2 linked regions of the Neodiprion lecontei genome follow. The main gene of each other region encodes a partner of the protein of the gene in region 2 in a complex. Links are inferred from orthologs where the notes say so. Each region holds a gene or a part of one and is shown on either strand. Other genes may lie near its edges. The genes, in order: mitochondrial fission 1 protein and B-cell receptor-associated protein 31.

Region 1 (5,149 bases), on a different chromosome or scaffold from region 2:
ATGCTTGAGCCAGAGTTCAAGGCGGCGTTCAAAGTGATTTATATTAATTGTACGGCGATAAAGTCAGCTGGTGCTATTTACGCCAAAATCGTTGAAGATCTGGGTCTGAATCTTGCGAAAACTGAGAAGGCGAACAGGTCAACACTTGAAAAGTATCTGAAGTCAAAGCATCAAATGCTCCTACTTGTTCTCGATGAAATCGATCAGCTGACCACCAGGAGTCAGTCGGTTCTCTACACAATTTTTGAATGGCCCTCTAAAGAGGGATCCAAACTTGTTCTAATCGGAATAGCAAACGCTCTGGACCTTACTGACAGAATTCTTCCCAGGCTACAGGCAAGGTGTGAACTCAGGCCAAAATTGATGCATTTCGCACCTTATTCTAAACAGCAGATAGTCAATATCATCACGGAAAGACTCGAGGAGGCAAATGTATCTGATGTTCTCAATAAAGTAGCTGTGCAAATGTTGGCTGCTAAGGTTGCAGCTATTTCTGGGGACATTAGGAAGGCTTTGGATATCAGCCGTAGAGTCATAGAGATTGCAGAAGCTCAGAGAGTCGCTCAGGTTTTACAGCCCTGTAACGACAATGGTGAGCAATTTGGAGATTGGAAAATTCGTCGATTTTCAATTTAAAAATTACAATCTTAAACTAATTCTTTTGTCGTGTTACCATTGATATGGGATGAGTTAATTTTCGGATTAAAGGTAGTAACATTGCGGGAAGTCCACGAAAACAACAGGAGATACCTCAAGAGAAATCAGTTGGTTTAAAGGAAGTTGTCATGGTTCTGAACAGCGTTTATGGAGGTGCCCAGAACATCAACAATGAAGAGAGTATATTTCCCTTGCAGCAGAAGCTGCTACTGTGTTCGCTGATGCTAATTCTTAATAAGGGCAAGAACAAGGATCTGACGATTGGAATGGTAATTGAACTCGTGGATGGTGATAATAAACTGCGAAAAAATTGAATCAATTTTTTTTCCTATTTGCAGCTGCACGAGGTGTACAAAAAAGTTTGCAAGAAACGAAATATACACATAGTCGACATGTCCGAGTTCGTTAGTTTGTGCTCCCTTGTCGAAACTCGAGGTGTATTAAGAATAGTGGGTAAAAAGGAACCCAGATTATCGAAGGTACATCTACTGTGGGACCAGGAAGAACTTGGAGGAGCATTGCAGGATAAAACTATGATGTCAGAAATTTTAAATGACGCATCTTGTCTGTAGAACGGCTCCAAGATTGTCTATTAGCAGCATCAACGGATAAGACTAGAGTGCCTTTCGTTTTTATTAGAAACAATTTTTAATTAACGTTACGTTTGATTGTAAATTATTTTTTGCGCTACTCAGATTGTTCACGTCTTTTTGAAGTGCACGCGATAATGTTTTGGAAGATTTTTCAATCAATCTTATTTATTATCGATTATTTTATCATACTTCGCAAGCGGCTTATTCACTTATCATAATTGCACAAGTCAACCGAAACAATATTGACGCGCTCTTCGAGTAACATTTTTTCACCCCGTACTGACCGAATAATAATTGTTATTGTACCTAATGAATTAGCCTAATTGCTTAGCAATCATCAATTCCATATTTTGTATGAATGTAGTATCGTGGATTAATAAAGTATTGTATTTGTATACGAAGAAGAAATTTTCTTGATGCAATCGCATTCAGTATGCCCTTATTTACTGGTCCATTGATCGAAAGCAAACTCCAACAAAATTCTCAAAAGTTTGAAACGAAAATTTTTTCAACGATTCGTCCCTTGAAACGGAATGGTCGGTAAGGTAAAGTTATCGATAGGAACATAAGATGTATTTAAATTGTTCGCGCTTGTAACGCTTGGCAGTATCAACGCCGATTGGTGCATGGCGACAAGGAAAAGAAGAGAGGGAACTGAGGTATCCATCAGCGTATAAGTCGGTAGGTATTACCTCTGGTATTACCAGTGTTAGCAGTTTTTGACGGTGGTGCCTAACGTGACATCGGAAACATGGAAGACGTACTGGACGAGGTGGTTTCTTCTGAAGATTTAAAGGTCGGTTGACATTTTTTTAATTCAATATTAATTATCACGGTTACGATAATATTCCATGGCATGTGTCGCGGGTGAATTTGACAGAAATTCGAAGCGTATTTTGATTTCTACGAATCGCCGTCTCTACTCCGGGATCGCAGCTAGGCGAGGTTAATAGTCTGAACTGAATAATGGGAGATCCTAAAGATCATTTCTAACATCCGCGACATACGAATAGTTGGATTCTCTCAGTTCTCCGAATCGTTATCTTTTTATAACAGCTGCTACTCCAGCGATACATTTGTACTTCCTAACAAATCGTGCTGCGTATTCACGACAAAGTCGTACCACCATAACCTTTAAAGTATCGATTCACGCACGACATTGAGCAAATTTAATCTTAATTTCCAGTTCCGTTACCGTAGGACCAAATTCGTTATTAACGCGGCATCCGTTTCTTCAAACAAAATACAAATGTATCTATTCAACGGCATGTCACGCAACTCACCGATACGTAATCATTTCAAAATAACGTGACTCACCTCTAAAGAATAAGAGAAAAAAAAAAAAAACATAAAAAATGCTAGAGAGAACCTGAAAAATGGGAGTTACTTGTTTATCATTTTTGGTTCTCCAAACTGAATTGACTTTGTAAATTAAACTTTATGATTATTTCTTATGTTGCAGCTTTTTATTACTCCGACATTTTTCCATTTCGAACCTACATATTTCACGACTTCATTTTATCATTTTCAGCACTTTTTCTTTGTCTATATCTGAATCTTGATAGCGAGTAACCAACTCACTAAACGTCATGATAGTTACTTGGCTGTAATAGATAATACTATGGTGTATAATATGTTTAATCGTTGTGCAATAAATGTATGTTTGATTACTCTGATTATTTACAGAAATTCGAAAGAGTTTATCACGAACAGCTGCACGCTTCAAATGTTACCCAAAATGCGCAGTTTGAATATGCATGGTGTTTGGTCAGAAGCAAGTACTCGGCAGATATTCGAAAAGGAATTATCTTGCTTGAAGATTTGTTCAACAAAGAAGGAGAGGCGCTAAAACGTGACTGCATATACTACCTAGCGATTGGAAATGCTAGAATAAAAGTATTTATTATTGAATTGAATATTAATATCATTAAACGATGGAATTTATCTTTGTATCTTTAAATAGGGAATAACTAAACCTTTTGCAAATCTCATTGTTTGTCAAGATAACTTTGTAACAGTTTTTACTTTCTTAACATTCTTTGATATAATTTGATTGCTCAAATTAAATTCATAGCCAGTTACCTTTCATGTAGGAGTCTGAAATATCAAAACTCGTGCATTTGAGCTTCAATAACACATCTGTATATCATTTTCTATTAAGGAATACACCAAAGCTTTGTCATATGTGAGAGCGTTTCTGCAAATTGAACCAGGCAACCAGCAGGTCCAGCATTTAGAAACGACAATAAAAAAGAAAATGGAAAAGGGTAAGACTATAAATTTTTTAATATAATATGTTGAAAATATTTATGTAAAAATAATTGTTACCTACAATTTTTTTTTCTCGTTTTTTACCAAAGAGGGACTTGTTGGCATGGCAGTAGCTGGAGGAGTAATAATTGGACTTGCAAGTATTTTGGGATTAGGAATTGCAATGGCAAAGAAGGGTTAATGAACACTGTCAGAGTCTGTGCATCATCGACAATGTTTAATGGCAAACGATGTACAGCAGATAGAGTGATAACTTTTGAGTAAAAAATTACACTGATACACATATAGTGATGATCTTTGCGTAATACGAATTAAAAATAAATGTATTTTCTTTCCATCATTTCGTTTCGATTTTCAATTTAGGTGAAATAAAAATCGCCTTCCATGTTTTTATACTTATATATTTAAACTGATTTTTAGTAGTGTAATTTGAAAAATCAATTTCTTAAAAAATGTTACCGCATCACGAATTACAGTTCGTATTATTCAAAAATAGGCGGTTAACGTCACAATAATTCCGTAGTAGTTATGGATGCTTGTTTTGGATACATTCCAAAATCTTTAGCAATGCATTATCCTCTTATTGTATAGCTTCCTTGACCTTATTTAAATGTTACATTAAAAAAAAATCTTGTCTCAATTTGTACGCGTAAATTAATATATAAATCGACTATTCGTACTATAGTAGATATATTTATGCTATTTTTAGGCTGTGTATATAAGAATGAAGTTACAGTGTGAAATGATCATATCTATGTTATTTACGGAACCCTAAATAAAATCTGTGTTTCATTCAGTTACCAACACAGACAAAGGCGTTTCTTTCTTTTCTGCATTTCCTGTACACCAGTAATTACCGCATCATTACTTCAATAACCCATTTCTCTTTCCGTACTCATTTCTGATATTTTACAAAAAGTTCGGTAGTATTATAATGAAAATAAATTTCTTACCTCTGAAAATGACATCGAAAGCGTTCAAATTACGCGCGCCGGTGTCTTAACACAAACTATGCGAGCTATTGTTTTCCGTTCTTCAGTCACTAGTTTTTCGAAATATATCGCGCATTGGTCACAGGGAGTTCGTGCGGGGTTTCGAATAAACAGGCAAGCTTGTTACCTTGTAAGAAGTTCCGTTCCTCTCAGATTGCCGGCTGATAAAATTTGAAAATACCGCAAAGATTTGCATGCAACACACAAAGTGGGTGAGTTCCGGTTTCGATGATTGACAATTGACGATCAGTCGGTCGTCGCCGCGTTGTTCTAACGACGACCGTTGAGAAGTTTGAATCCTTTCGCAGCGTCACTATCTGTTCGCGTATCAAATAAATTATACAGAAATTCTACCTGTAAAGGTATACAAGGTGAATCGTTCAAAATACGAAAAACTCTAAAAGTTGTGAAACTATATACGATAACGTGCGGTGCGAGCAGCGCCGATTTTATCTCTGTTCTTCATTTGTTAACCGGTAGGCACATCGCCATTGTCGGTGAACTCGAGCTTACATGTCGTTCAGTGATATTTCGGGAATATGGTGATTAATAATCTGGATTCATTATTTCCTGAACGTATGTGGTTTCTATTAGTGAATTTCCAATCCTTTTTCAAGAAGAAAGAGCTAGTTAACT
Region 2 (5,191 bases):
TAAATCAAGTTCAATGGTATCAACGAAGTTATATCAATAACAAGTAAGAGCCAATTCGTAGGCAAGTACTGACGCATCTCTCGTATCCTAGTAAACATGCTGTGGACTACTCTTAGGATGGTATCAGTCATGTAAATCACGTCGCAGCTTGGTATGATGTAGTATTCTGGTATATACAGGGTGGTATTTACACTGTATGCAATTTTGTAGATTACAGTGAAAATCAAAAGAATGACAGACAGTATTATCAGTTTGGCAAAGAATGCATCAAATGGTAAGAATATTGCGTTTTCCCAATTAATGCCAGAATATTGTTGCTCAAATTTTGACTCTGAGTTCTGACTTGTGTTTTCACGTAGTTTTGTAGCATTACTGTCACTTATATCCAAACTTAGTTTATTGGGCTTGTTATCTACACCTTCCACTTGCATGTTAGTAAAAGTTTTCCATAATTTCAATTTGTAATTATCACAGTACCATAAAGTTTAATAGTCTCTTCACGATGTAGCTTTACAAGTCATATTTATCTAGCCTACTAGATATTTTGTCAACAAGTTTAGTTTTTTGTTTTTTTTCCAACATGTATACATGTTTTGTTTGAGTAAAAATATTTCTAGTGACCAATAATATTGTTATATTTATGGGAATTCACATCATACGTAGGTTTTTTCATTGTCGCACTATCATAGAACAACATTCCTGTACTGAGTAATCACAATTGGGGATGCAAGAAGATCAGATCGATGATAATAATTTTCACATACTTCTTGTATTCAAGAAACTATAAAAGGTAATACAAACAGTTCAAAAATATGCATACAATACCAGGAAACATCATAGACGTTACATTTATATGTTTAACGATATTAAAAATTGCTCTAATGGTAATTAATAAACAACAGCCGGTTAATGCTATTCATAATTTTAGACTCTGATTGATATTTTAAACTGACGAATGTATATCATTTAAAAACTTTAGAAGCCCTCATTTCTACGTAACTTTTTACCATAATGAAATTACAAATGCTCAAGCACCTCACCAAATTTTAGAAAAAAATTAGCAATATTAAATCCGTCACAATGTAATTGTTGCTATGTACAAACATGAAATATTCAAGCATTCAAAGATAAATATAAGAGAAAGACTTGCTGAGAACTTCAATAATCAAACAATGCAGCTTTGAAAATCCTACAATAAAAATATAACATTATTTTTATAGCTAGAATTACAAACAAATACCATCTCTTTTGCGCAAAAGGAAGTATGGTGAAAATTATTCCACTTTTTTGTCTCCGCTAGATTGCAACTTGGCGTGTTCTTCGCTCAGTCGATCATATTCCTGCACAAGAGATTTTGCTTGCGATGTGACTGCTTCTTTGTCTTTCTTTTCCTTTTGCAATTCCGCTTCGAGCTCAGAAATTTGTTTATTTAAGCCTTTGATTTGATTTTTAAGCTCAGAAACTGCTTTGTCGTGAGCCTCGTTGGAATCATTCTGGGCACTTTCTCCTGATGATTTCTGTGCCAGTAGAGATTTTGCTGTGGTGGTGGCAGATACTGCTTGCCGCATAGCTGCCTCACTTTGTGCCAGTAGCGTTGCTTGGGCCGAAATCAGTGTAACCAAGCGACGGATCACAAGGCTCAGAAAGAGCGAAAATCCAGAAATATAAAAATTCCGTTGAGCCCGAAACAGCCGCATATTACCTATAATTTATGCAATTGTATTTCGTTATCAAAGAATGTTATTTCTACGAAAACACATTAACCCACATACAGTAGTAGTCCCATTTTTTGAATTTTGAATCACAGATGCACTTCATTTTTCAACAAATAATAGTATACAAATTTCGTACCTTGCATTTCTGTATTTAAGTGAACATGTTCCCCAGTCTCTATGTTAGAATACTTGCGCATTTCTCGAATCGCATCTAGCAAAAATAATACCAAAATGGCCAGCAGGACTAAAAAGTATATCGACGCTTGACTGCTCAAGCTCTGAAGGAATCTGGACTTGAAAAGCCGTTGCCAACTCTTCGGGGATGCTATTGGCAAAACGAGGAGCAGAACAACAGCTATTTCCACATATAAAAAAGAAGCGATAATCGTCCATTGCAAGCTCATCTTTATTACCGTTTTTTCTTGCTTTCTTATCTTTCAGACGAATATATCTGAAAATAATAATGAACAATTTCAATTACACACTTGGTTAATATCAGGTACTGAAAAGTTTTTAAATGTCTGTCGTTTCTAGCCCGGGTGAATTTTGAATTAAATTAAATCGTCACATCCAAGATATTATTGTACTATGATAGACTGACCAACGGATGAATTACAAATGAAAAATGGGAAACTCTTGAGCCCATTTTATTTAAGCATTCAGTAATTTTTTTCTGACTTGCTAGTGTCGATTACTGTCAGCATAAGACCAAAAAGACCCAAGATTACCCAAATTACAGATATCTATTACAAAATACTGTATCTGAGGATGCGAGTCGATTTTACACTATTGAATATATCCAAAAACTTGAACTGTCTGAATTATTCTTTGGCTCAAGAAAAGTGAGTAAAGTAATGAGAATTGTCACAAAAAAAAAAAAAATCAGTAATGACATGAGATCAAATGCAATACCTGTATACTAAGATTTAAAAGTGAATCACAACCGACTTTACGAACTTTGATCAGATAGCTTCAGCCTATGACGCAATACTATTTATGAATTTGACAAATATTCTGTGTCGATGCAAGGCTAAAAATGTATGTAACGAGGAGATGGCGGGGAGCAAGGATTTGACTGTTGAATCGTAATGAAACTCGTACATGTAGGCGAGTCTTGTACTCATATCTCACAGGAATATTGTCTTGTCGAATGCGATGATAAGGTATAAAAAAAATTTCACGTTAGCGCAGAAGATTACATATGAAATGGCTGAATCGTCTATTTTCACTTGGTTAGCGAAATTTTTAGATTAATGGCTCAACTACTTACGTGGTTTTTAGAAAGTCGCACGCCGGTTCAAGCAATACCTAAATCTCTAACCACTCATTCGCCCAACGTAACGTCCAGCTAAGTACAAAGTGCGGTACGGATATTCCTGAGTTTATAAATAAATTACAGGGTGACGTTGTACCCCGTAAATGTTGCTATGTTTTCTACGTTTCTTCTATTTCGTTTTCCACGAACACAGGGTCTTCTTTGATTGGCCAGGCCGTTGGCGAAAGTTTGCGTTCCTAAATATTGGAAAGACGTCAAAGATTGTTGTTTTGACTCAATTTGAGGAACGCAGGTCAACGAGGTCTTCTCTCACTGACAATAAGTAGGTATCAGTCAAGTATCAGTCAGTGGTTCTCTGGACGAGAAAAAAAGAAGATAAAATAAATAAGAGAAAAAAAGTATAGGGAATCGCAATAAACACCACGTGCTTTACGGTGATTATTGTTTGAAACTTGATCACAGTAATATAATTGAGTAAGAATGCCAGGAAAACTTATAAACAACGTACTCACGTACGAAGGATGCAATTACTTTAGGTATCGTTTACTACTGGCAACATTGTCCGGGAAACCCGTAAGAATCACGGGGATACGAATCAACGATGACAATCCCGGCCTTAGAGGTTAGAACTTCGAACTGGACGGATCCGATTGTTGACCAATTCAGTTCCTTAGTTTTAATCATGGAGTTCGACATTTATGTTTTTGGTTTTTATTACAGAATATGAAATCAACTTCGTTCGACTCATGGACAAAATCACAAATGGGACCAGAATAGAGTTGAATGAGACTGGCACTATTATTTCTTATATTCCTGGTTTACTGGTCGGAGGAGATCTGGAACACGAATGTAGTCTTGAACGAGGTATCAGTTACTATTTAGAAGCTGTCATGATGTTAGCCCCTTTTTGTAAGAAAATGATCAGACTCAAAATCAAAGGAATAACCAACAATACTCTTGGTAAGAATTTTTGAAAATTTGTTCATTTCTGTAATGTGCATATTAAAAATCAAACGTTCTATCAAAGTAATTGGTTTCCGATTACTTCAGACCCCTCTATCGATAGACTGAAAGCCAGCGGAATTCCTGTCATTAAGCAATTCATTGTGGGGGATGATGACGTGGAATTGAATATTTCTAAGAGAGGCGTTGCTCCATTAGGCGGTGGCGAAGTATGGTTTAAATGTCCGGTGAATCGTCACCTCAAGTCGATACAGGTTGGTTAACAATTTTTTTAAACAACTGTCATAAATTTGAAATCATCCAGCGGTACACGGAGCCTAACCTTAAACTTATTGCCATAGTGCCAGAATTGTGGAATGGTCAAACGAGTGCGAGGTGTAGCGTGTTCGATACGTGTATCCCCGGCAATAGCCAATCGCATGGTGGAATCTGCTAAAGGATGTCTGTTAAAATTTCTTCCAGACATTTATATTCACACAGATCAGAGTCGAGGTTCATCAAGCGGTAAATCTCCAGGTAAAATTATTATTACGAAAAATAATTTTTCTAGTTAACAGATCGATGTTAACAACTTTCTTTGTCAGTAAGTTAATTCACAATGAAAGTATGTAGTTTGAACATATTCTATCAGTTGAGGTTGAAATTCGTGTTATATCCAGATAAATATTTTTTACCCCTAGGTTTTGGAATTACTTTAGTGGCTGAAACGACAACAGGAGTATCTTTGAGTGGTGAAGCATTTTCATCCTTGACAGAGACCGGATCTCTACCATGCGTTCCTGAAGATCTTGGTAAAAAGGCAGCCTTATATCTTTTGGATGAAATATACAGGTAAGTTTAAATGTGTTATTATTTAATCAACACCTTTATAGAAACAATTACTTTACAGAAGTGGATGTGTAGATTCTGCCTTTCAAAGCATGGCAACACTGTTTATGGCACTTGGTAAGAAAGACATTTCAAAGATGACCGTAGGCCCATTGACGCAAGCCGCGTAAGTGAACGTCATTTTGTACAAAAAAACACTTTATTGTTATTATCAAAGGCTTGATTATCATTAGACTATATCTTATTGATTTTCAGAATACAATTTCTACGGGATTTGAGAGACTTTTTCGGTGTTGTTTTTAAGATAGACATGTTGAGCAGTGATGAAACTATCGTCGAGGAACGAAGTCTGGTATTATTAACTTGCGTTGGAATAGGATATTCGAATATCAATCGCCGTGTCATGTAG

The links.
Region 1: the proteins of B-cell receptor-associated protein 31 (region 2) and mitochondrial fission 1 protein are in contact, whole or in part, in a crystal structure (PDB 8XWX), measured with the Homo sapiens proteins. The link is inferred for Neodiprion lecontei from reciprocal best matches to the Homo sapiens genes BCAP31 and FIS1. Residues at the interface, in NP_001132913.1 of Homo sapiens: Asp224, Leu227, Glu228, Ala231, Lys232, Ala235; in NP_057152.2 of Homo sapiens: Arg52, Val56, Glu59, Glu60, Pro63, Lys64, Lys89.

What each region holds. Positions count from the first base shown.
Region 1 is NC_060261.1:34,272,275-34,277,423, forward strand, and holds mitochondrial fission 1 protein, read left to right. Parts: upstream 1-1,894; 5' UTR 1,895-2,001; coding exon 2,002-2,046; intron 2,047-2,936; coding exon 2,937-3,146; intron 3,147-3,411; coding exon 3,412-3,517; intron 3,518-3,610; coding exon 3,611-3,702; 3' UTR 3,703-4,335; downstream 4,336-5,149. Other genes in the region: cell division control protein 6 homolog, read left to right, coding at 1-592, 709-926, 996-1,229. UniProt on the Homo sapiens protein: Involved in the fragmentation of the mitochondrial network and its perinuclear clustering. Plays a minor role in the recruitment and association of the fission mediator dynamin-related protein 1 (DNM1L) to the mitochondrial surface and mitochondrial fission.
Region 2 is NC_060260.1:410,672-415,862, forward strand, and holds B-cell receptor-associated protein 31, read right to left. Parts: upstream 3,142-5,191; 5' UTR 2,986-3,141; intron 2,763-2,985; exon of another isoform or gene 2,628-2,762; intron 2,167-2,627; 5' UTR 2,120-2,166; coding exon 1,852-2,119; intron 1,703-1,851; coding exon 1,275-1,702; 3' UTR 751-1,274; downstream 1-750. Other genes in the region: RNA 3'-terminal phosphate cyclase-like protein, read left to right, coding at 3,472-3,613, 3,712-3,951, 4,042-4,208, 4,296-4,470, 4,635-4,785, 4,844-4,948, 5,038-5,191. UniProt on the Homo sapiens protein: Functions as a chaperone protein. Is one of the most abundant endoplasmic reticulum (ER) proteins.